Linked DNA regions of Caenorhabditis elegans. The protein of the gene in region 3 purifies or fractionates together with the protein of the main gene of each other region. This does not show direct contact. Each region holds a gene or a part of one and is shown on either strand. Other genes may lie near its edges. The genes, in order: asp-4, dbn-1, hipr-1 and cht-3.

Region 1 (4,763 bases), on a different chromosome or scaffold from region 3:
GAGTTCTTTTTGCACTACTCAATGCTTCTCATGCGCTTGGAGTCGAAGATTTGATGAATATGGGGTGTGCAGCCGCAGCAGAATTGATTCGAGGAAAAAGCACGGAAGAAATTCGCAAGATCTATGGAATCAGGTCAGATGAAGAACAAATGGAGGAAGCGTTGGCAAATGGTGGAGAGGGAACATCTGCAATGACATTCACAACGGATTCTGATTGATGTTTAATTTCACATATTGTGAAGAAGATGTTTGAAAGAATATATTTATACACTTTGATTCAAGTTTATTTGTGAATAAATTATTTTACAAACCTCATAAATGAAAAATTGAAGTTATAAGAATGTAAAAGAATAGTTGGAAAACAAAACAAACAACTAAAGTGTCACTACTAATTAAAAAATTGCTTAAAATTAAATATCAAAGAACCATATGTAAATCAAGTTCTCGTTGTTTCAGAATATGAGGTGAGCCCCCAAATTACCGGATTTTTATTTCCGATTTTTTCTGATTTTGCATCCAATTTGGCCGAACTTGTACATTTCTGGTGTTTATTGCAAAATACTAGGTTTTAAAAGAACTAAACGTTTATAAACTTCATGACGGAATTGAATGCAGCGTTCTGATTACTAAATCTGGAAAATTTAATAGTGTGCTTTTTTTTAAAGTTTTTTTTTTCATCTGCCTTAATTTGCCCTTTTTTGTGGAATATTATTTTTCAATTTTGTTAGTTAAGTAAAGTTTCACTATGCTCAATTCTTCAGACTTTGGGGGGATAACTTTTTCGAGAGTTGTGATTAAAAGATACATAATATTCATATATCCAGTGCCGGTTGTTTCCAATAATAGTTTTTATTGTATAGCTTTTTTCATGCTAATCCATTTCATCTAAAATTTTTTATGTATGCATTAGGACATTGCATTAGGACATGATAATTTCATCAACAATTTTAATGAAAACTGAAAATTGAACATTGAACAAAAATGTCAACAATGTTATACGAAAATTGTATATAGTTTTTCAAAAACAATTTTTAAATCTCCTGTAAGTTTTCCACGCAACTTGTATATTTTATAGGCTTAATTTAAGCAACTACTTGATATAGGAGCCCTTGAACAATTGTAGAATCTGTTTTGTAAAGCTATAACCCAATCATAGTTGTTTTAAGATGAATGAACCTAAATCAATATTATCCTTAGCATTCAAACACTGTTGTTCACAAATCAGACGGAAAAAACGGGCAGCATCCACGCTATTTTCCATCCACAAAAAAACCTCAATTTACAGAGCTTTTGTGTCTTCTATGTTTAACAGTTTAACATTAAAATTGCTTGGTCTTCCAAACGTTTTGGTTTTATTTCAAAAGTGGCCATGCAATTTTTTTCATAGTCCATTGCGTGATTGACTAACTGTCTTTCAAACTCCGTCAAAAGTCCCAATTACTGTCTACAACAACCTTGAAGACAAAATTAGATAGGATCTTGATTTGGCCGAGTTTTGAAATTATCCCATTTTCTCTCCCCTAAATCGAAACAGAACAAAGTTTCACAATTCCCTTATCATTCAAACTTGTCATCTCACCGGTACAGACGGACACGTTGACAACGGTCAGGCCATTTTTTGAATGTTTAGAATTTACTTTCCGATAATTATGCATGACAGCTGGAGGAATAACAACGAGACAGTTGACCTTGCAGCTGCTGTTGTGCCGGCAAAGAAACAAGGCGGAGTCATCATGAAGAGAAAGGGGAGATAAGAAAAGGCACAATTGAGATCGGAAGAGGCATTCAGTTAGTTTCATCGTCAGGATGAACCGCTGTATTCTTTTGCTCCTCGGAGCACTTCTTCTCGTTCAAGGTCTTCATGTTCACAAGAGGCAACAGAAATTGAGAACGTAAGTAGAGGTCGTTGGAGGTTTGTTGACACCTCATTTTGATCATCGATATAGTGAAAATGTTGGTCATGTTTCTTAATATTAGGTGCCACGCAAACACCTACTTATGACATAACTGAATAGGTGTGATAATGTGCAAGATTGATTGATACTTGAATCCTCGGTAATGAGTAACCTTGTTATCTGTTTCAATATTATATAATCCCGTCAGAATCTCATTTAGACAGGATACTATAAAGAACTGAAAGTTGTCCATTGTTTTTTATTGTAGTTTCAAATCTGATTTTGACATTAAAAAAAAAACCTAATAAAATTTTTCTAACTGTGAAAGGATTATTTAAATTCATTGGGTTTTGTTGGGAACACTTCTTTCTACTTTGATCATAACACTTTTTCTTTCTATTTTGTCTCACAAATCTAAGATTTCGAGAAGGCACATCATGCCACTTTTTCTCTCGATGGGTCACAAGACCCTCCTGCTTATCCCATTCGAGTTGATCAACACTGCTCAAAAATCCGAACAACAAGAACAAAAACAAGTGACCCACTCAGCAGTTGCTCAGTTCTTATTCTGCTTGCAGCGTTTCCCTGAAGAAGCAGCCGACTCTTCGCGAGACTCTTCTTCAAGCCGGTTCATTCGAAACCTTTGCCAAGCATCGTCATGGATATAAGAAGTACTTGAAAACCAATGGAAATCATCATTTCGACAAGTACCAAGCTTTGAATGTTGAAGGAGAGATTGATGAGCTTCTCAGAAACTATATGGATGTGAGAATTGAAACAACAAAAAACATATAACTAATCAAAGTTTTAGGCTCAATACTTTGGAACCATCTCAATCGGAACTCCAGCTCAAAACTTCACAGTCATCTTTGATACTGGGTCTTCCAATTTGTGGATTCCATCGAAAAAGTGTCCATTCTACGACATTGCATGCAGTAAGTATTTCATCACCAAATCAAACTGATATCATGCTTTTTCTTGTGAACTGATGCTGACCGAAACGTGTTTGTTTTTGACAGTTTTATGGTTTGGACAAACAAATAAAACACTTTTTCATTTCAGTGCTTCATCACCGTTACGACTCAAAGAGCTCGTCAACATACAAGGAGGATGGTAGAAAGATGGCAATTCAATATGGAACTGGATCCATGAAGGGATTCATTTCAAAGGATAGCGTTTGCGTCGCAGGAGTGTGCGCTGAGGATCAGCCATTTGCTGAAGCAACCAGTGAACCAGGAATCACCTTTGTCGCTGCCAAATTCGACGGAATCCTCGGAATGGCTTACCCTGAAATTGCGGTTCTCGGTAAGAGTTTGAAGTAGACTGGGATACACCCGGATAATCGGAAGGGTTCAGCATTTTGTTTTAGTTATAAAAGCTGTGCATTGAACATTTTGGTGTGAAGTAATAATAAGTTGCATCCTGTATGCCATCAAAGGTACAATAATTACAGAAAATGACTTTTATTTTCTGAGCACTTACTAGGTTTTCTCACTTCTGTAATACTCTATTGCAGGAGTTCAACCAGTGTTCAACACTCTTTTCGAACAGAAGAAGGTCCCATCGAATCTTTTCTCATTTTGGCTCAACCGTAACCCAGACTCTGAAATTGGAGGAGAAATCACTTTTGGAGGAATTGACTCAAGAAGATATGTTGAGCCAATCACCTATGTTCCAGTCACCAGAAAGGGATACTGGCAATTCAAGATGGACAAGGTTGTTGGATCTGGAGTTCTTGGATGCTCCAATGGATGCCAAGCAATTGCTGATACCGGTACTTCTCTCATAGCCGGACCAAAGGCTCAAATCGAAGCCATCCAAAATTTCATTGGAGCTGAGCCTCTCATCAAGGGAGAGTACATGATCAGCTGCGACAAGGTTCCAACACTTCCACCAGTCTCTTTTGTGATCGGAGGACAAGAGTTCAGTCTTAAGGGAGAAGACTATGTCCTTAAGGTTTCACAGGGTGGAAAGACTATTTGCTTGTCTGGATTTATGGGAATCGATCTCCCAGAACGCGTTGGAGAGCTCTGGATTCTTGGAGATGTCTTCATTGGAAGGTGAGCCATATCTTTTCTCAAATTAAACATTGACGAACCCAATGAAAAATCAGGTACTATTCCGTCTTCGATTTTGATCAGAACCGTGTCGGATTTGCTCAAGCTAAGACCGCCGATGGCCGTCCAGTTGATCCAGCTCCACGACCATTCCGTTCTGTCTTCGACAACGAAAGTGAGGAATCCATGGAACAAGACGACGAATAATCAACACGTTATTTTTCTCACAAATCCAGGTTTTTAAAATATTTTTAATTCATTGGCTTTATAAAACACTTTATGTTTAATAAATATTTTTCTATCAACACAATTGAAGGCACATAATCGAAAAATGCGATCATTTAGCGCCACTAAGCAACAGATGGACGAAACAAAATGTCTCCACTGTTTCCGCTATTGCTCGAATCGGTGAGCCATGAGTAGAATTTTTGAGACTCTGTGTGCTTTGTGGGGTCCTAGAAAAATAAATATAGTAGACACATCAAAATTGATAGCAACACTCACCAGTCCTTTTCCTCTTTGTGTTGATTTTTTCGGACTACTATTTCCTGATGTCTCATCTGGCTCTTTCGAGTCGCCAGCTCCAGGTTGCTTTTCTGGATTTTCATCTTCATTTTCTAGAGGTGTTTTTTCCTGAGGATTTTCAATCTTCTCATCTTCTTCATCATCTTTATCTTTTTCATATGTTGAAGGTTTCGGTGGACACATAGCGTATAAACTAGCAAAACACCCCGAACCAGCCCACTTCTGACAGGTCTGAAAAGCAAAAAAACAGACTGTGCATGAAAAATCAGTTGCTTACATTCAAATG
Region 2 (4,919 bases), 5.0 Mb from region 3:
TTCTATGTTTTCACTTTGTTCATTTTATGTAAATATCGTTTTTCTCTACCCAGCGCGCGAAACATCCTGCCTCAATTTTTTTTTGAAATTTCGATTCACCAACTATTTTTTAATCAACCTGATGGAACAATTCATTCCCCCAAAAATGATCAGAATGACTCAGTTCACAAATGCGCAAACAAACAGTCGCAAGTAGAGAAGTCATCAAGAGATTAGTCATTCTGCAGAAAATCCCAAAATTTACTGCTTTAACCCTTTGACTGTGAGACAGTATGAAAAGCGAAGAGATTTAGGGTCACCTAGAAGGAAAAGTTTTTAGTAAAGACCTACACACACGAACAATTAAATATACCACTACTACTACATACTTCTTGTGTCCGACTTCATACGAGTGAGAGACGACAGCCATTAAGGGCGGTCGTATGTTCCACTGAGCGCTCTGAACTGCTGCGTCTTAACGGACAGCCTCACTATTTCCCTTACTATCTTACTGCCGCCCTGAACTGGCCCAACACACACAAACACAATCAAAAGTGACTCACACACATCTTGGGGCCAATGTTTCTTTTTGATTAGTGTTATTAATATGTTTTCTATCCCTTTCAATTTCGTTTTCAAATAGATGAGTACATATGTAGAAAATCTAAAAAATGTGTTGAAATTAATCATCTATGCCGTTTTTCAATGTGAAAACCTATTTTTATTTAGATTTTAACCTGCAGATCGTTTAAAATGTTTTCATGAAAGCTTAAACCACCTTCAAACGCTCCAAATTTTAGATTTATTTTTTGAATTTCTAGCAGTACTGTTGACATTCTTTCTTGAACATTTGAATATTCTTTCTTCTGTTTTTTTTAGATCAGAAATATCTGTAAATATAAAATTTTAAGCGATGAATTACAGCTTTAGTTTTTTCTGTTTCAAAACAATTTAAATAATTTGAAACGAAACAAATTTCCTCCAAACTCAATTTTTCGCTTAAAATTAACCAGAAAGTGAAAATATTGCCATAATTAAAAATAATAAATTTGAAGCCGCTCAACTACCGTAACTTCAAAGGCACATGACTTTAAAAATCTATTCGTGGCGAGACCCATCCTCTTTTAACCTGATTTCTGAAAGTTTATTTGTTTCTCTTTTCCATCAAATTTTGTATCTTTGCATTGAAAATAATTGGGTATTTTCGCAAATTTTTGTCGGTCAGCCTATTAGTTTTCCATTTTTAATCGCAACGATCAGACCATAGAATCCGGAGTTTTTCATGCAAAAATGTGTGAGACACGCACGCGGAGACTCGACCGCGAGAAGATTAAGCTTTGATTCCAATTCAATCTCGCCTACCGGAAAAAAAAAACATCTCTCGAGACATTTCTTTAGTTTTCTGGAGGGTCTCTGCCTACCGCTGGCGCGGGAACGAGAGATGTTTGCTGGCGGCTACGCCCGTTCCGTTCTCTCATTTCCTGGTCAACTACCGAAAATGGTCTTTTAAACGATTTTTTACTTGAGATTCTTTATATTAACCCATAAATTTCTCGGCCTTAATTGAAAATTACCTCGTGACTCGATCAAATCGAGAAAAATGCACACCTTTGTGGCAAATTTGCCATATGTTGCGAAACATAGTGTGATTAATGGAGTACCATAGAGAAATAAGTTCTGCGTAGAAAGAAAATAAAAAAATGATAAGGAGACCATTCGGAGGCTTTTTATCGCGTCACTATTACAATTTTCCCTCGATTTTAGCTTAATAATTACAATATAGGTCGTCGAACCCTATATTGTATGTGTTCCAGATGACTCTCAACTATCATGCACACGGCAAGGAGATTGAAGCGTCGTATCGGCGTGCCAGTGATGACTCAGATGGCGATAAATGGGTGATTTTCGATTATGAAGGAAATTCGAACACATTACGAGTCAAAGAAGAAGGAAGTAAGTTCAGATTTCGTTGCTTTCCCTCCTAAAAATCTATTTATTTCAGCTGGTGGTCTTGAGGAGTTCGCCGACAGTTTCAGCTCGGGAAAGCTCCAGTTTGGTGTGATTTCGGTGCGACTGAGCAGTGATGTCTTCCCGAAAATCGTTTTGGTGCATTGGGTATGGAGTTTACGGCTAAATTGAAAGGAAAACGAAAATCGAAAAAATTCGTGATTACTAGGTCTTAAAAGTTGAATATTAACAAAAATCATGTCAATTTGCTTGCATTCCATGTTCCTCTCAAAAGATAACGCTATTGTGAGATTTTTTGCTGAAAATTTTTTTTAAAAATCCATTTGTAAAACAAAAACTGTAGTTTTTTCCAAAAATTCTTTGTCAGTTATGGTTTCAAATATTTTTAGAGATGTATCGAGATTTGTATACTTTTAAACACGAAGTTCCAGGAAAAAAACCATTTTAATGTTTGAATATTGCAGCAAGGCGAAGGAGTCCCCACACTGCGTTTGGCCTCAACGACACCGCACGCTGAAGAGTTCCGTAGATTCTTGAAAACAGTTCACATTGTGCTCCATGCCAGATCGGAAATCGACATCGAGCCGGACGCGATTCGAAAAGAGGTGCGAAAGCTCCCGGCGGCGAACGCCAACGCCATCGTCGAATCCACGTACAGCATGCCGGAGAAGGTGAATTCGGTGTACCAGCCGACGAATGCACACTCGGAGCTCAGCTCGGAGGCTCGCGAGAACTTCTGGAGCACAACAAATCAAGAGGAGAAGAGGTACTGTCTACATGAAATCGTGTCCTGAAAATCAAGTAATCACCTCTAAGAAGTTTCAGACGACAAGCCGACGAGAAAGTGGCTCATGCGAAACAGCAAAAGCAGTATGAAGCTGACCGTGATCGCACGGCCGCGGCAATTCACACAAAAGCCGAAGATTTCCAGCCGGAGAAGGTTAACTCGGTGTACAAGCCGACGAAGCCCCACGTTGAGCTGAAGACGGTCAAACGGGAGGAGTTTTGGAGCAAGATGAACGAGGAGGAGAAGCTGTGGGTGTTTTGAGTAATTTATTGAAATAGAATTCGCAATTTTAGGCGTCAAGAAGAAGAAAAAACCGCTCGTGAACAAGCACACAAGCAGTTCGAAGCGGATCGACAGCGAATGGCCTCGGAAATTCACTCCAAAACAGAAAACTATCAACCGGATAAGGTCACATCGGTGTACAAGCCAACAAAACCGCACGTGGAGATCAGTTCATCAGCTCGCGAAGAGTTCTGGAGCAAGATGAACGAGGAGGAGCAGCGGCGGCAAGCGGAGGAAAAAGAGGCACAGGCCCAGAAGCAGAAGGAATTCGAGACGGATCGAAAACGGATTGCGGATGATCTTCACGGGAAGGCTCAAATTAGTGATAAGCCCGTGCCATCTTCGGTGAATCCAGCTCCAGCTCCCGCCCCCACTCCGAGCGCAGGTCTCGTTGGAAGCAGAAAAGAATTATTCAGCTCAAAACCTTCCGGTCCAGTGCTTCCGAAGCCTCAAGTGAATGGATCGCCTAAGAAGTGGCCGCCAGTTGGCACGACCTCTCCGCCCCGTGAACCCGTTAACCGACTCACTGAGCCAGATGAGCCTTCGACGTATACGCCAAAGCCAATAGCTTATGAGCCAGAGCCAATGGTTTACAAGCCCGAGGCTATGAGTCAGTTTTCGTATAAAGTTTATTAGTCCTAATTTGAATATTTTCAGAACCTGCCGTCTCTTACGATGCATACGAAGAGCCACCAGCAGAGCCAGCTCCACCTACATTCCTTGCTCCAACCCCGGTCATTGCTCCACCTCCACCTGAGCCAACTCCAGCTCCATCGCATTACGCCTCCCAGTACGATGCTCCACCGGTTCACGAGTCTTTCGAACCAGCTGTACCTCCAGTTTCAGCTCCTTCCCACTATGCGTCTCAGTATGATGCTCCGCCGGAGCCGATCGACTCTCACTCATCGAGCTCTCAACTGCCAGCTCACATCGCCTCACAGTATGACATGCCTCCAGTGATGCCAGAGGAGCCCGTGTTTGCACCGAAATCCTCGCCAATAAAAGTCGCTGCTCCACCAATTGATCAGTACGATTTCCCGCCGGCGGTCGCCGAGCAGAACGCGATGGCTCTCTGGGACTACCAGGCTGCAGATGACACGGAGATCTCATTTGATCCTGATGACATTATCACAGATATCGATCAAGTCGATAGCGGATGGTGGAAAGGACGTGCGCCCAGCGGCCGCGTAGGCCTTTTTCCCGCTAATTATGTGAAGCTGATTTAATTTGTCTAGATAGCCTAACCGTTCTTTTTTACTAATTTATTGTGCAATGTTTTTTTCCCATTTTAAACTCAACAATCCGCGGTGCCTCCCATTCTCCCACTTCCTGTAATTTATTATACCATTACTTTTTATGTGCATTTTCTCCGTAAATGGCAATATGAATCGAAAATCGAAGAATCTGTTTTTATAATCAATTATTTCATTCACAGGACGATAATAAGCGCAGTCTCGAGTACAATATTGATGATGATAATGCTATTTAATTTATGAAATCACTGGGGGAATTGCAAATACGAAGTTGGCACGAATCCTGACTCTTCGTTGTGTTTCCTGCAACTTTCATTTTATTTACTTGGTAATTCTTTGTTACTTGTATTACTTTTTGGTTCGAGTCCATCCATCTCCGTGATCGTGTTCGAGTACGAGAAGAATTTCGCCCTGCTCGATGGACATGGTCTCCGCGGAGGATTTGGCAAATTCGAACAGTGCGGTTACCGTAACCGCTGTCTCGACTTTAACTGAATCGGGAGTCGATAAAGATTTGCGAATGGCACCTGCAAAAAATTTATACTTATATTTAACTATTTTTTCTTTTATAAAAGCTTTTAAAAGGAAAAAAATGGATTTTTAATTTAACCTGAAAATGAGGATCTGAGAATCTTTGGTGATGAGATTTC
Region 3 (7,511 bases):
AACATTGGGAATTGATGTACAATATCATGATTTGGATCCAGTCGAATTGAAAGAATTTTTAGTTGCCCGGAAAGAGAAAGTTGATGCTCAGTTGAAGGATTTGGCAGATAAAAAGGCGGCGAAGATGCTCCGAACCACTTAATAAATTTTGTTTGGTTATAGGAATATCCTCCTAGGATAGACGTTTTTTTCTAGTAATTTTTGTTGTTTTTGTTCGTTACAATAAATCTCATTTTTATTTTCTGGATTAATTTGATTACCAATCGTTTCCAGCGATTTTCACATATTTTTCCAGAATTTAATACAGATTAATATTTTCGAAAAATTTAAACATTTTCTTTTCACATTTTAATTCATCTCTATTCATTATGCAATACTCTTTTGGTTTTCAAGCATCCGACATTCCTCCGTTTCATTTATGTTTGCATTTCTGCTGGCATGAATGCATTTCATTGTGTCTCGATGAGAAAAAGGACAATTTCATGAGCTTATCAGTTACTTCGTTTTCAAAATTTTAATGTTGACCAGCCATTGATGTCATATTTTGTCTAAGAAGCTCAAGAACTATTATTTTTTGAAGCTTAATTTCGAAGAGCAACATTTTTTTTCATTAAAATTCAGCAGTCATTGTTCTTTAAAAAGTTTTGATTCTCGTTTTTAAACGATTTTTAATTCAGTCGAGAATTGAATAACTTCCCGATTTCCCGGCCACCATCGTTTAATACCTTTTCTTTATGAGACTAACTTCCAAGTATGCAAATTGCAAATCGACGCAAGGGGAATACACTCGCTCACTTCTCATCGAAATTCGAAACCTTTTCCCATTTTCTTTCATGTCTTTTTCGCTTTTCTCCTCTCTGCCCATTTCCATTTATTTCTCAAACACCGTTCAGTGAACACGAAAACCCTTACGGAAATTGTGTTGTAAGAATACAAAAACTTCCGTAGCATAGCGAGAAAGAGTCACCATTTTGTAGTGTTTGCCCCCGGTGGTATAGTTTGCACAAGTTTCTGAAAGAAGAAGAAGACACATTTGAGGTCTTATGCACATAAAAATCAATGTTAGACTATCTTTTTCACGTAGTTTTCTTTTGCAAAGTGGAAACTTCTCATTAAACACTTTTTGCTTTTCAATTGTCTGAACAAGTTTTCGATTAAACAGCTGTAAAGCTTTTGCAAGTTTCATGGTTTATGAACTATTTCGAATCGGTTACATTGCTGAAGTTTTAGTGTTTCTTGAATATGTCGTCACTACCAGGACTGGACCAAAAATCAAAAAGAATTTAAAGTGAAATACCAAAAAAAAAATCGTCGATTTGCGATTTTTGAAGGACTGTAAGTGACTTTTTTGGCTTCATTTAGGTCCCAAAAAACCTTTTTTTTCTCAAAAAATGTGACTCAAAATACCAAAAAAGTCTTAACCTGATCACTTCGCCTTCTCAACTCAAGCCATTTTTGCTGTTTAGTTCGAATATGGAACAAATCATAAGAATCTTGAGTACCTATATGCGATACCCGATTCATTTTCCTCTCTTCTAAATAACATCATTTCCTCTCTTTTTCCCTCTCTCTCTCTCTCTGTTTTTGTTTGTGACTCACTTTGTCCACAACGCGCGCGGAACCGGCTTGTTGCCACACACACACTGTGATGAAATATGCGGGAGGAAAGCTTTTCGCCTAATAGTTGACTTACTTTTCATCTATATTCCTCAATTTTGCAACTAATAGATTGATTTGTCATGGTTTTGATTTCAGGGTTTTGAATATTCTTTGAAATTGGAATTTTTAACAAAAATGCAAATTATGTGCCAAGTCATATCTCCTCCTCACACTTTTTCTATCACATGCCCCCAAAAAAATTAATTTTTTTCAGGAATGGATCATCGTGCTCAAGCGCGCGAGGTATTCGTTCGAGCTCAACTGGAGGCTGTTCAGAAAGCGATCACGAAAAATGAGGTTCCATTGAAACCAAAACATGCGAGAACCATAATAGTAGGAACACACAAGGAGAAATCATCTGGAATCTTCTGGCATACTGTAGGACGGATTCAGTTGGAGAAACATCCTGTACTCACTTGGAAGTTCTGTCATTTGGTGCACAAATTGCTTCGAGATGGACATCGAAAGGTTCCTGAAGAGACTTACAGGTGGGGTTTCTTTGAAGGAGTGATAATCTTAAATTCAATATTTTTCAGATATGTTAATCGATTCACTCAACTTTCTCAATTCTGGAAACATTTGAATACAAGTGGATATGGTCCATGCATTGAGTCATACTGTAAATTACTTCACGATCGAGTCACTTTTCACAACAAATATCCAGTTGTTCCGGGGAAGTTGGATTTGAATGATTCACAACTGAAAACATTAGAAGGAGATTTAGACAATATGTTTGAGATGACAATTGATATGTTGGATCAGATGGATGCACTTCTTGTATTGCAGGATAGAGGTTTGTAATGATTTTTTCAAGTCTGGAAAATTATTGAATTATTAATTTTCTATTTTTCAGTGTATGAAATGATGAATTCCCTACGCTGGAATTCTCTAATTCCACAAGGACAATGTATGCTTTCTCCACTGATTATTGCAATTCTGGATACCAGTAAATTCTACGATTATCTCGTTAAAATGATCTTCAAACTTCATAGTCAAGTTCCTCCAGATGCATTAGAAGGTCATCGTTCCAGATTCCGAACAATTTTCGAGAGAACTAAGAAGTTTTACGAAGAATCATCGAATCTTCAGTATTTCAAATATCTTGTTTCAATTCCAACATTGCCATCTCATGCACCGAACTTCCTTCAACAATCCGATCTTGAATCTTATCGAACACCTCATGCATATCTTCATTCGGAAGGTTCAGAAGATGGAACTTCTCTCAACGGACATGACGGGGAATTATTGAATTTAGCTGAAGCAGAGCCACAACAAGCGAGTCCATCGAGTCAGCCAGATCCTAGAGAAGAACAAATTGTTATGTTGAGTCGTGCTGTTGAAGATGAAAAATTTGCGAAGGAACGACTCATTCAAGAAGTAAGAGTTGATTATTAAAATATAGTTTTTTTTTAAAACTATCATAAAAATAAACAAAATACAACATTTTTTACTATTTTCCAGGCGCGCAGCCGCATCGAACAATATGAGAACCGTTTATTGCAAATGCAAGGAGAATTTGATCACGCAAAACGAGAAGCTGATGAGAATCGAGAGGAGGCACAGAGACTGAAGAGTTCGTTTTTTTTTTTGGAGAATGATATTTTTCTCAAAATTAGTTGGAAGTCAGATTATTATTAATTAGATATATTTTCAGACGAGCTTGCACTTCGTGATGCATCAAGAACTCAGACAGACGATGCACGTGTAAAAGAAGCAGAATTGAAAGCAACGGCAGCTGAGGAAAGATTTAATAAAATGAAAGGAGTTTACGAAAAGTTCCGAAGTGAACACGTTTTAGCGCTCACAAAATTAGGAGATATTCAAAAACAACTAGAAGCTAGTGAAAAATCGAAATTCGATAAGGACGAAGAGATTACTGCTTTGAATCGAAAAGTAGAAGAAGCTCAACGAGAAGCTGGAAGAGCTTTGACAAAGGCGGAGGGTGATGCTGGAGCAGTTGATGAGATGAGAACTCAATTGGTTAAGGCTGATATTGAAGTTGAGGAGCTGAAAAGGGTAAGATTTGAATTTTTTAAAGTTTTATATACATTCAAAATTCGGAAACTCCTAGACTTTTTTTATAATTAAATTTATCATAATAAATTCACAAATTTTTAAAATTGAAATTCTCACTTTGAGAGAAAGGGTGTCATCGAAAAAATAAACATTCCCGAAAATCAAAAAATCGAAGAAAACATTTTTTTTTTCATTCGAATTTCGTTTATTTTGATGAGAAAAACATAAGAAAATATATATTTTTTTCTTAAAAAAAAACAAAAATGGTTTAAAAAATTGAATGCTGTTTTTTTGTTGAAAAATTAGAAAATCTGAAAAAAAAAACAAAAATTTCCGATTTTCTGGAAAATCGATATATCGAAAAAATTACATTTAAAACTAATTTTGTTTAACACGAGGAAACTAAGTAAGTTTCTATGAAGACGAAAAATGGCTAAAATTTTAAACTATTTTTCGAAAAATCGGAAAACGAAAGTCGAAAAACCGAAACTTGGAAGTATAAAGCATATTTTATGAAGAGAAAATGCAATTCGCTCCTCGCGATTTAAATGTCAAAAATGAATCATGTAAAAACATTATCACTGTATAGATATTAAAAAAAACAATTTATTTCTTACAGACAATCGATCATCTTCGAGAATCACACGCCAATCAATTAGTTCAATCATCTGCTGAAGAAACTAATAAGATCCGGCTCGCTGAGTTAGAAGTAGCCAGTAAGAAATTTTGGATAAATGTATTTTTTTTAAATACTTTAATTTTCAGAGGAATCTGGTGTTGGAATTACACAAATGTTTGATCATTGTGAAGATGCTCTACAGAATGCTACGTCTATCACTTATCCTCCACGTAAGTCATCATCAGGGCTGAGTCAGAAAAAAGTGTTATTTTCAAAATCGTGACCGAAAAAAGTTTTCTACCGGAAAACCGAAACATTTAAAAAAGTTTAGAAAATTAACAAAAAATAAATTCTATCAAATTTTGTTTATTTTGAATCGAAAAAACCTTATAAAATTTCATTTTCTAAAGTGAGTAAAAATGGCCAAAATTTAAACATGATTTTCGAAGAATCAACATTTATTTTTAAAACGAAACATGTTGAAACGTTATTTTTAAAAACTTGAAGAATATGATCAAAAATGCACTCGTATTAAAATTTCGAGTATTTTTTCATTAAAAAAAGTAAAATTAAAACATTGATTGTATTTTCCAAAAATACTTTTCTCCCCAAAAACACTAAAACCAACAATTTGGAAAAATTGAAAATTGTTTCAAGAAAACCACTTCAATTACTGAAATTTTCAGATCTCGCCCAGTCAGCAATGAATAATCTCGTCAATATTCTCTCGAATGAACGTCTTGATGAACCACTCGCTACAAAGGATAATGTTTTCGCTGGACATCTTTTATCTACAACTCTCTCTGCTGCAGCTTCAGCTGCTTACACTGCAAGTATCGAGAGTTATGAAGGTGTAAATGATCAGTGCAAGAAGGTTCTGGCTGCTGCAAAAGTTGCATTTTCTGATGACAGTGCTCTTTCAAGAGCTGATAAAATGAAATTACTTAGACAAGATATACAAACATTGAATTCATTGATGATATCACTTCCTCTTCAAACAGATATTGATAAAGATGTTGTTGGAAATGAATTGGAACAAGAAATGAGACGAATGGATGATGCTATTCGAAGAGCTGTTCAAGAAATTGAAGCAATTCAAAGAAGAGCTCGTGAGAGTTCAGATGGAATTCGTCTTGAAGTGAATGAATCGATTCTTGCAAATTGTCAAGCTTTGATGTCAGTAATCATGCAATTAGTAATTGCATCAAGAGAACTTCAAACTGAAATTGTCGCAGCTGGAAAAGCAGGAGGATCGCCTGCAGAATTCTACAAAAGAAATCATCAATGGACAGAAGGACTCTTGTCAGCTGCAAAAGCTGTTGGTGTGGCTGCTAGAGTGTTGGTCGAGTCAGCTGATGGTGTTGTGACTGGAAAAGGAAAATTCGAGCATTTGATTGTTGCTGCTCAAGAGATTGCAGCTTCAACTGCACAATTATTTGTTTCCAGCAGAGTAAAAGCTGACAAGGATTCGTCAAAGTGAGTTTTTTGGAAATATTATCCGATGCCAAAATTTGAGGTTTTCTCGAAAATTTAAAATCTCGAAGTGACCGTTTTTCTTGTAATTCAAAAGATAGTATGCATTTAAGGAGTACTGTAGTTGTCAACTTCTTGTTGTGGCTCAGATTTCATTGGTTTTTCCAAAACACAAACAACGACATATCAATAAGAAAAATCGTCAAAAATTAAAGCTATGTTTCGAAATATTGGAAGAACAATAATTTTTTGAAAATCAGAAAACTTTTAAAACAAGTATTTTTTTCATTTTTCTGAACGAAAATTTTCAAGGAAAAAGAACTGATTTTATTTCAGTAGTTTCTAAAACTTAACCGAATTTGTTTCTAAATTCGACAATATTTTCAGATTGGACGCTCTCTCGGTTGCTGCAAAAGCCGTTAATCAAAATACTGCCCAGGTGGTTGCTGCTGTCAAAAACGGTCAAACAACTCTCAACGATGAAGGTTCACTTGATTTCTCATATCTTTCGTTGCACGCTGCGAAGAAAGAAGAAATGGAATCACAAGTGAAAATGCTGGAATTGGAGCAAAGTTTGAATCAAGAAAGAGCAAAGTTGGCGGCTCTCCGCAAGCAGCATTATCACATGGCTCAGTTGGTTGCGAACAAGGTTAGTTTTTAAAAAATAGGAACATGTATTTCCTTAAAACCTGAAAACATTAACAGAGCTAATAGAAAACTGACTATCGAATTAGGAATCAAGGAATTTAAAGGTTTGAGCACTCCCCCCAAAAGCTCTCTTTTAACATCACTCCCTATGTTTGTATCCCGTGCACATTTACCAAGAATACAAAAACAAGCTACACCTTATTTGAAAATTATTACAACTCGTTTAAATCAATTTAAATTTCAGGAAGGAGAAGAAGCTCAGGAATAACCAACAATCTATCCGAGTATTTCCAAAATTGTACAATCTTACTCAAATTGCTTTTTTTTTATACCATATTTATATACATCAATGCCTTACCCTCTTTTTTCACTAAAATCTCAAATTGCTCCACTGCTTAATTTGTTTATACCAATTTTATCGTCCCACTTTGAGAAACTAGTCACTCCCAGTGTCCTGTGATTTCGGTGCCCATCCAACAGTCTATAGAGAAATGTTTTATAATTTGTAAATGTTTGTAAATCTCTTATTCTAAAAGCATCCCCCTTAAATTGTAAGAAACAACTTCTGAATATGAAATTGATTTCCAAAAATATTTATTTATCCGGAACACAATTCACAACTTTCTATACATTTGAGAAGAAGAGCATTCGAACCCCGTAATGAAATTCAGGCGATGGGACGGTGGGAGAGAGAAGTAAGGGAGGAAATATGTATATTTGACACAAAAGGGATCGATTTACAAAAATAAGCTACTTCTATGGGACCTATAAAAACGAGATCTTCAAAAAACGTATGGAACATCCTTTTGTGCTCCACTGCTTAACTTCTACAAAAAAGAGATTCCTGATTCAGGAAGAAGGAGGTCGTGGAGTTGTGCCACGTGGATTTTCACTAACATTTCCACCAGACGATGAGCTGCTCGGTGGACCGATGACAAGATCTTCATCTTCTGTGAACGACTCGTTTCCATTTTCAGACTGCGATGATTCCTCCTCGTAATAATCGGTATCTAAAATGGCTCGTTATTATCATCTAAACCTTCAAAACTTTTATATCACTCACCATTAAACAAATCATCATCTAATAGGAAATGAT
Region 4 (7,786 bases), on a different chromosome or scaffold from region 3:
AGCCTTGTTACTTCCGACTGACAGCAGAGAATCCAGTCTTTGGGAGCAAATCCCCTTATGCCATTACTTATTCGTGACTAGGAATTTTTCTAGGTTTTTTCTAATTGTAGCAGTATCATAGAATGTTGAAATAGGAAACGAAAAAACTTTTTTAAAAACGAAACAACTTTGTATTTTTATTCGTAATTGAAGATTTGTTGAAACAGGCAAAAATAAGTGAAATTTGACAAAGCAAAGTTGAGCAAAAAAGTGCAAGAAAAAACAATATTGAAACAAACATTCATATTGTGAATTGATACTTGAAATTAACGGAAGAAAAATCATTGATTGTAAGGCAACATGTTTAACCTCAAAACCCATATTAGCCGTTTCTTCCCTCTATTCCTTACTCATTTATGTGAGAACTGCAGATGTTGCAAACTCGTCATAAATAACTCGTTTGGGTGATGACAGTAATGTCATGTCACATTAAGAAAAGAAATGAAATCATATGAGATATTGAGAAATACATGAAAATTTAGTTCTGCTGAAACGAAAAAGTGCTCATATTTATGAAAACACTCATTCAGATTTCCGAGAATTATGATAATATCACGGAAAGTTTTATTTTAAAAAATGCTCTGTGCCGCTTTTGTCGATACAACTTCTGAAATTTTCAAAACCACCGCGGTGCCTCCCAGTAGGACTTCAAAAATTTATCTACCCATCTTGAGATCAAAACTTTCGAATAATTTTTGGCGACTGTCTTTTATAAATCAGGTTAAACTCCCAATGGATCTTTTTGCTTTGTCGCCTTATTCAAAACAATATCCCAAATAAATGAAATATTGTAGGATTTGTGTGACAGTTAGAAAACTAACTTGTGAGGCGGCAAAAATGACGAATTATTTTCTGTCTAGGGACACTATCCCCACCCGAGAAAAAGTAAAAACGCCGGCGACAACTACAAGAAGGACGAGGACAAAAGTGTTTCTTGTCAGGAGAAAAGAAGGGAAAAGGGTTTGTCAACATACGGAATACTGAAATATTGGTCCCCAGGGAGATCAAAATTGAAAACGGAAGGTTAAGGGAAAAAGTGGGTGGTTATGAAACATTGAGATCTTATTGAAAACCGAGGGAGAGTTAGAAATGGTTTTGACAAAAAAGTGAAAGACAATTTCGTAACTGTAAAATTCCTTGATATCTTGTGGAAATGTACCTGTCAGGGGTGTGAGGTGATCAAATTTACCGTTGCACCCAAAATGGAGCAATTATTTCTAACCTTTGAAGGCTAAAATGTTTTAAAATTTCAAAACAAAGACAGTTTTTCTTCAACTGCAGGCTCGAAAAACCTTGAGAAGTTGGAAATATGTCAATTGATTTGGAATTTATTCTCTAATTCTGATTTAACGTGAAGTTTATGGATACCAAACTTTAAATTTAAAAAAACTACAAAACTTTCTACAAGCATCCGTATCTCTATTTAAAAATAAAACATTTTCTTACATCATGCAATTGTTTCCCAGAGAGCCAACAACCAGTCAAATCTCGGTTTCAGCGACGAAATTTCAAATCAATCACCTAAAAACCAATAACATGTGGTATGCGAGGCTTTTGGATCTTCCGCCCACTTTATCATTCCCGAATCGCTTTTTTTATCTGCAGGTCAGCTCTTTTTTCTGGTTGAATCTGGGCACGAAAAATCGTATATAAAAGAGATAGAATCAGCATGCTTCTGTCATTTTTCCTCAGAGTTTTTCACCTTCTTATTGTGTTTTTATAATCTTTCTTCTTTTTAGAGATGGGTATAAAAACCCTCATTTGGCTGTCAATACTTGTAGTAGGCATATACTGTGAGATAAGTGATGAAGATGCTCCTGTTCATTATTGTTTTGTCAATCCTCCACCGGTAAGCAGCCATAAATGTTATCAAACAAGCAATGTCAATCAGAGTTTCAATTAAAAAATATTTTTTACTAAATATTGGTTTAATAGTTTTGATAATTGTAAAAGGCTCCAAATTGCAGAAAACTCGTCTCTCCCCAAATCTTCTTCAAAACATCACAACGTGCACCCATTTAGTGTATGGAAGTATTCCAATTGATCGAGACACTGGATATCCACAGTACAGTGTATCCGATGTTGAGTCTGGATATGATATTGACAATATTCGAACTTTCATGAGATTGAGAAAATATCATCCAAATGCCAAACTCTTGATGGGAGTTGTTAGAACAAAACCGTTTGAAGACGCGGCTACATCGGTGAAGGTTGCAAACGGGCTCCGATCTCATGTGAAGAGCAAGTGAGTTTGAGAATTTTGGGAAATTGGTCATCACAGCTTTATCAAAACTAAAATTTATTTTCCAGAAGATTCGATGGTTTATTTGTAACTTTCAACGGCATTCACCTTGAGTATCGAGCCTCAACGAGTTTTCTTGAAACGATTTCAAAAGACAAAAAGATGTCGTTAACATTTGGAGTCACAGGAAGAAGAGTTTTTGCATTTGATGCATTAAGACGACTTCAAGAAATCAATGATCTCGTTGAGTATATCTATTTGGATATGGGAGAATTGCCAGTAAGTATTTTCAGTTTAAAAAATGGTTGACTGGAGTTATTTTTAGTCAAACGAGGAACTTGCCAGAGTCACACACATAAATCCACTTTTCTATAATGGATCAATTCCGTTTGAGGAAACAATTCAAGGAACTGTCGAAGAGTAAGTCAAAATATATAGGTGAATTAGATCCAATACGGAATTTTCAAAGTCTGTCTTTTGAAAAATTCCAAATATCACAGTAAAACTTTTTCACTTTGATTTGTGTTTAAGTTATTGTCAAACATAGCCACTTCCTCATTTTTTGCAATTCATAATTTTGGAAAATGTTTTTTTTTTAATTTTACTGTTTCTTATGTTATTATTATCTTTTCATTTATTTTTTTTACCATCCGATGCTTTCAAAATGTTGAAAGAAAGTTACAAAATTCTGCAAAAAATTTTCAAAAAATGTTTAAAATTCTAAAACATTTTTAATAACGAAGGTTTTTACTCGTTTTGTGTATAAAACACCTATTGTCGTAACAATAAAAATTTAAGGTTGTCAAAAGAAGGAATTCTCCCTTCACGTATCGTAGTTGGACTGACTGCTGGAGGATGGAAATTTGAAATCAAAGAGACTCAAGATCCATTAAAAATCTCTCATGGACAATATGCTGAGAATAATGGAAAACGAGTTTCTTATCAAGATGCTTGTAGAGCTAGAGGAGCTGTCATTTATGATTGGCAGACTATGAATGAAATTACCGTGTACCGTCAGACGTGGATGAGTGTTAATCTACCAACAATTAAGGCTATGGGAGAAAAGGTCGTTGCAACTTATGCTTTAGCTCATGAAACCTATTGAATTCCAGATGAAATGGATATTGGGTCAAAAGTTTGCTGGAATTGGTATTAGCCACGCCCTCTTCGATGATCCACGTGGAGACTGTGGTACAGATCCGTTGCCAGCTCATCGTCTTGTCATGGAACTAATTCGTAATACTATTCCTGCGAATCCAGCCAAATGTACAAGACTCTGCTATTTGGATCCGGAGGAGGTTGAGGAAACATTCCCAATTGATAATCTGAAATCTGACTACTGTAGTCATATTGTTGTTCCATACTTCGCCCTTGATCTCTCCGACAAAATGATTGAAGAGGATAAAGCCGAAGATCTGGTGAAGAAAATTGATGATTGGAGAAGCAAAATAGTTGAAGTGGCACCGAGGGTAAGAACTCTTTGAAACCGTTTTCAGATTTCAAAGGAAAACTATTTCAGCTTATTCTTTCTGTCGGATCAAAACAAGCCTCAACAATATGGCAATTCCTCCTTGGAAACGATTTTCATAGAAAAGAACTTGCTGAAGGTCTTGTTAAAGCAATCAATTCAACAAACGCAGATGGGCTTGAGATTTCGTGGACTTCTCAACCAATGGTCAGCGATTTTGATAAGAAGAATTTGAAATCATTTATCAATGATATCGTCGCAGCGGACACAGCAAAGATGGTGGAGATCGTTGTGGCAACTTCACAACAGAGCGCTTATTCGGACTTTTATGATTATGAGCATTTGAACAAGTTGGTTTACTTTAATATAATATTTATTTTAATTCAAAAATTTTAGAACTGCATCACTAATTGTCCTTCACTCTCATCGTCTTCACTCGGATTCTCTTCCATTCACAGGACATCCTTCACCTCTTCGTGCCACTTCATCAATGACTAATCAAAAAATGAGTTGGGAATCGTTGCTCTCTCACTGGGTCGAAAAACGTGTACTCCCTTCAAAACTTGTATTGTCTCTGAGTGCATCCACTTTATCCATGCAATCACTTGCTGATGTGAGAAGCTCAGCTGCAACTCCATTTGGACAATCAGCTTTTGTGTCAATGTTGAGATCGAAAAAAGGAGATATTCATAGTCAGCAGGAGATCTGTGAAAGCCTGAAGTCTGGAACTGGTGTCACTCATTGGGTTGATGGAGCTGAAGTACCATATTTGAGGTAAGTAATATTTTGGGATTTATGGTGAACTGAGCCCTTTGAGAATTTTATTCTAAATTATTTCAAATAAACTTCCCCAGTGTACAAAGCGAAAAAGTTTAAGCCAATTTAATGACATGAGAAAAACTGGAAATTAGTTTCGTATTTCTATCTCAATTTAACAAAATAATATTTTTAAATTTATATTTAAGTATAAATACGGAAAATGATTTAGCAAGTCAATTTCCAGTGGTTCAAGTTACTACCAGGACCAAAATGTGAATTATCACAAAATGCAATAACTTCAGACGATACGATCAAATGGTAGCATATGAGAATACTCGTAGTGCTCACATCAAAGCAGTATGGGCATCAATGGAAGGTGTTGGAGGACTTGCTCTTCACAACATGCACCAGGACGATCCGAGTGCAGTTTGTGATAACCGTACTGCATTCCCCATTTTAAATGCTCTTTCTCGTGCTCAAGTTTGTCAGACTTGCCTGAAACAGCATGACTTCAAAAAGTGTGAACAACACGATTTCGTGGTTAGCTGCAATTTTGAATTGAAGAGGAGCACTCGTAAGCTTTTTTTTGGATTTTCTGATGTGTGAAATTTGAAACAGAAAATTTTATTTTTGAAAAATTTAATATTTTTCAGCTGTTTTCAAAACGGACATTGTCCCATACGAGCGTTGCACGGAAGTTGTCGTTGAGCAGGCAACACTCACTTTAGGTGGAAATGTGAATTTCAATGATGTTCAACAAGAACAAGTTGTTAAGAATTTGGTAAGTTTTCGCACCTGCCTTGTAGTCTATAATGAGTTTTAGACATCATTGAGGTCAAAAATGGTTAAATGTGGAATGGTGCTTTCACTATCATGCGGTGATTCTGAGAAATATTTGAATTCAATTCTTGGTGGTGAGTTTCATTTTACAATTTGTAAATTACAAATTAAGATCATGTTACCTGGAAGAAAAGCTCTTAAACATATTCCTGAAAGCTTTTTCAGTGCATACTTCCAATATTCGATTTTTTTTATTTTTTGCAAACCTATTACGACTTTGAGAGATTTTAAGGTGGCCGAGGATTCTGAAGTTTTTGAAAATGAAACAAAATCTGAAAAATCTTGATGCGGTTGGGTGTCTGAAAATCCAAAAGTTAACTCGTACATGATTTTTATTGAAAAGCATTTGATTTTTGTTAACTTCGAAATTAAGCCCATAACCAATTTTTCCATATTGTAGACAACATGACATTTGCAATTGGCAACGTGATGAATATTATGGAAAAGTACAAATTTTCTGGAGTACAATTGGATTGTGAAAAAGTGATTCGCAGAGGAAACCATGTAATTTATTAGGTTTAAGAATAAATTACCTATGAATCTATTCAGATTTACTTCAACACATTCGTCAAAAAATTGGCACAGAAGTTTGAAAGCGGCAAGGCTTCCAATGGGTGTAACAGGACACTTTCAGCAAGGCAACCTTTTCATAGAGGTTTTTAAAAAGCTATATATCCCATTATTTCAGATTTTCCCATTACACACAAAAGCCGTCAACGTACTACAGTGTATCTCTATTGAATCGTCTGTCTCACATTGCATTAAGAATGACTGATAAACATTCCGTTGATCTTCCATTCTTCTTCAATCACACAAAGCCTGAGTTCCCGTCAACTGAGAAATTTGTGAATATTTGGAAGAATGTGGGACTGAAACCGGATAAGCTAGTTTTGGAACTCTCGCCATTTGGTTGGCAGACTGGAAAGAAAGTGGGGGAGAAGAAGAAAATGACACAAGGAGTTAATTGTGTAACTGCTGGGAATAGAGCTGTCTACGAACATGATTATGAAACATTGACAGGAATGACCAAACATGAAAATGGAACTATCAACATGCCAATGATTGAAGATTTTAGATACAAAGTAAGTTTCTTTTTTGGCATTTATAGCTCCCGTGATGACTGATTTTGAGATCTGGCGAGACCCCACTTAAAAAAATAAAGTTTCACATTTTCACGAAAGTAGAATAAATTACTGTTTTGTTTAAAGGGGGACTAACGGTTCGGACGATTTTGAATAGACTCAACATGGGCTCAAAAGAACAAATTTCGTAATGAAACTTCTCAAAAAATAATATCAAAAATTTTTTGTGGCAGTTCAAAATTTGAAAAAGTTACACTGCTATTAGGTAAAATCTCGTTTTTACCCACTTTTCCATATCGCGGTCCGAAGTTGCCCTTTTTTTGAATTATTGTTCTTTATTGCATATTTTGGTAGTCTATATCATTTAATTTCGTTTATTACAGTACATTTGAAGCCGATAGGTAACCAATTTTGATGATTTTTGGTTACCTATCGGCTTTTAATGTGCCTTTACCGACAAAATTTAATAAGATAAACTTCCAAAATTTGGAATAATGGATGTACAATAATCAAAAATTTTCAAAAATTTTTTGTAAACTTTTTGAAACAGTAATTTTTTTCAAAATTTCTCAAAATGTGATTGTTTTTGAAAATCTGATAATTTTCCAACAATTTGACGGAAAAATTTGCTAATCGTAAGTCTAAAATCTTTTGAAAGGTTCCATTATGATATTCTGTCATGTTGTATTATTAAAAGTTTAACAAAAGCCACATTATATTATAGCTGAAATCTCTACAAATACAGTACATATAATAATTTTTCTAGAAATTCTGGAAATTCTATCAAATTTCTAGGATTTTTTATTCAAGTATTCAAATTTTCAGATTGGTTACATCCAACGTGAACAGCTCGGCGGTATTGCATTGAATGTAAATGGAGATGACTATACTGGAATCTGTGGGCGTGGATCATTCCCAATTCTGAAATCTGTTTATAGTTCCCATAAGTGTCGTTAATTTCTGAAACTTCACAATTTTGATAAATAATTATTTTATTTCGTTTGATATCGATAATGGATGAGTTCAACTCTCCCACACGACCAAATTTTTTTTTACGAAAAAAAAGGGAAAAAGCGGGGAAGGGGGAATTGGGACACCATTTACAAAATATGAATGGTTTTTGTTCAAAGTTCCCAGTGATAATAATGTAGACTTAGTTGGTGCTAGAGGAAGTTCATTTAACTTGGACAAATTAACAAATTTGTTGATTTTGACGGTGAATATTCTGTGATCGAGGAATTCCTTGAACCAGAAACAAGCTAGTCAAGACCGAACTTGGCAAGTTTTCCTAAGAGACTGTGTGAAACTTTGTTAAAGGCTTTAACAAAATCAAAAAATATAATATAAAGAGATTTT

Evidence for each region.
Region 1: the proteins of hipr-1 (region 3) and asp-4 fractionate together in Caenorhabditis elegans (co-fractionation; one large-scale study listed by BioGRID). This does not show direct contact.
Region 2: the proteins of hipr-1 (region 3) and dbn-1 fractionate together in Caenorhabditis elegans (co-fractionation; one large-scale study listed by BioGRID). This does not show direct contact.
Region 4: the proteins of hipr-1 (region 3) and cht-3 fractionate together in Caenorhabditis elegans (co-fractionation; one large-scale study listed by BioGRID). This does not show direct contact.

What each region holds. Positions count from the first base shown.
Region 1 is NC_003284.9:13,218,471-13,223,233, reverse strand, and holds asp-4 (Aspartic protease 4), read left to right. Parts: upstream 1-1,771; 5' UTR 1,772-1,806; coding exon 1,807-1,892; intron 1,893-2,473; coding exon 2,474-2,660; intron 2,661-2,706; coding exon 2,707-2,830; intron 2,831-2,957; coding exon 2,958-3,200; intron 3,201-3,411; coding exon 3,412-3,955; intron 3,956-4,008; coding exon 4,009-4,159; 3' UTR 4,160-4,249; downstream 4,250-4,763. Other genes in the region: skr-20 (Skp1-related protein), read left to right, coding at 1-218; R12H7.4 (G_PROTEIN_RECEP_F2_4 domain-containing protein), read right to left, coding at 4,303-4,407, 4,457-4,708, 4,755-4,763. UniProt on the Caenorhabditis elegans protein: Aspartic protease, which is part of the necrosis cell death pathway. Involved in neuronal cell degeneration. Involved in heat stress response.
Region 2 is NC_003281.10:13,758,944-13,763,862, reverse strand, and holds dbn-1 (DreBriN 1/DreBriN-like (where Drebrin is from Developmentally REgulated BRaIN protein) family homolog), read left to right. Parts: upstream 1-1,793; coding exon 1,794-1,932; intron 1,933-1,981; coding exon 1,982-2,094; intron 2,095-2,411; coding exon 2,412-2,713; intron 2,714-2,772; coding exon 2,773-2,982; intron 2,983-3,027; coding exon 3,028-3,626; intron 3,627-3,673; coding exon 3,674-4,242; 3' UTR 4,243-4,419; downstream 4,420-4,919. Other genes in the region: toca-2 (Transducer of Cdc42-dependent actin assembly protein 2 homolog), read right to left, coding at 4,515-4,578, 4,622-4,796, 4,880-4,919.
Region 3 is NC_003281.10:8,718,329-8,725,839, forward strand, and holds hipr-1 (Huntington interacting protein related 1), read left to right. Parts: upstream 1-1,873; 5' UTR 1,874-1,875; coding exon 1,876-2,147; intron 2,148-2,195; coding exon 2,196-2,452; intron 2,453-2,512; coding exon 2,513-3,036; intron 3,037-3,120; coding exon 3,121-3,232; intron 3,233-3,313; coding exon 3,314-3,675; intron 3,676-4,294; coding exon 4,295-4,391; intron 4,392-4,440; coding exon 4,441-4,524; intron 4,525-4,980; coding exon 4,981-5,770; intron 5,771-6,154; coding exon 6,155-6,416; intron 6,417-6,472; coding exon of another isoform or gene 6,473-6,478; exon of another isoform or gene 6,479-6,659; coding exon 6,660-6,683; 3' UTR 6,684-7,004; downstream 7,005-7,511. Other genes in the region: mrpl-11 (Large ribosomal subunit protein uL11m), read left to right, coding at 1-142; nte-1 (Patatin-like phospholipase domain-containing protein ZK370.4), read right to left, coding at 7,265-7,425, 7,479-7,511. UniProt on the Caenorhabditis elegans protein: Regulates pre-synaptic vesicle recycling at neuromuscular junctions of mechanosensory neurons. Plays a role in maintaining a normal defecation cycle.
Region 4 is NC_003282.8:7,001,845-7,009,630, forward strand, and holds cht-3 (Chitinase-like protein C25A8.4), read left to right. Parts: upstream 1-1,778; 5' UTR 1,779-1,780; coding exon 1,781-1,888; intron 1,889-2,006; coding exon 2,007-2,284; intron 2,285-2,349; coding exon 2,350-2,560; intron 2,561-2,606; coding exon 2,607-2,701; intron 2,702-3,079; coding exon 3,080-3,347; intron 3,348-3,393; coding exon 3,394-3,750; intron 3,751-3,800; coding exon 3,801-4,099; intron 4,100-4,145; coding exon 4,146-4,523; intron 4,524-4,810; coding exon 4,811-5,082; intron 5,083-5,161; coding exon 5,162-5,289; intron 5,290-5,331; coding exon 5,332-5,422; intron 5,423-5,748; coding exon 5,749-5,852; intron 5,853-5,897; coding exon 5,898-5,986; intron 5,987-6,036; coding exon 6,037-6,430; intron 6,431-6,914; exon of another isoform or gene 6,915-6,935; intron 6,936-7,255; coding exon 7,256-7,387; 3' UTR 7,388-7,424; downstream 7,425-7,786. UniProt on the Caenorhabditis elegans protein: Putative chitinase.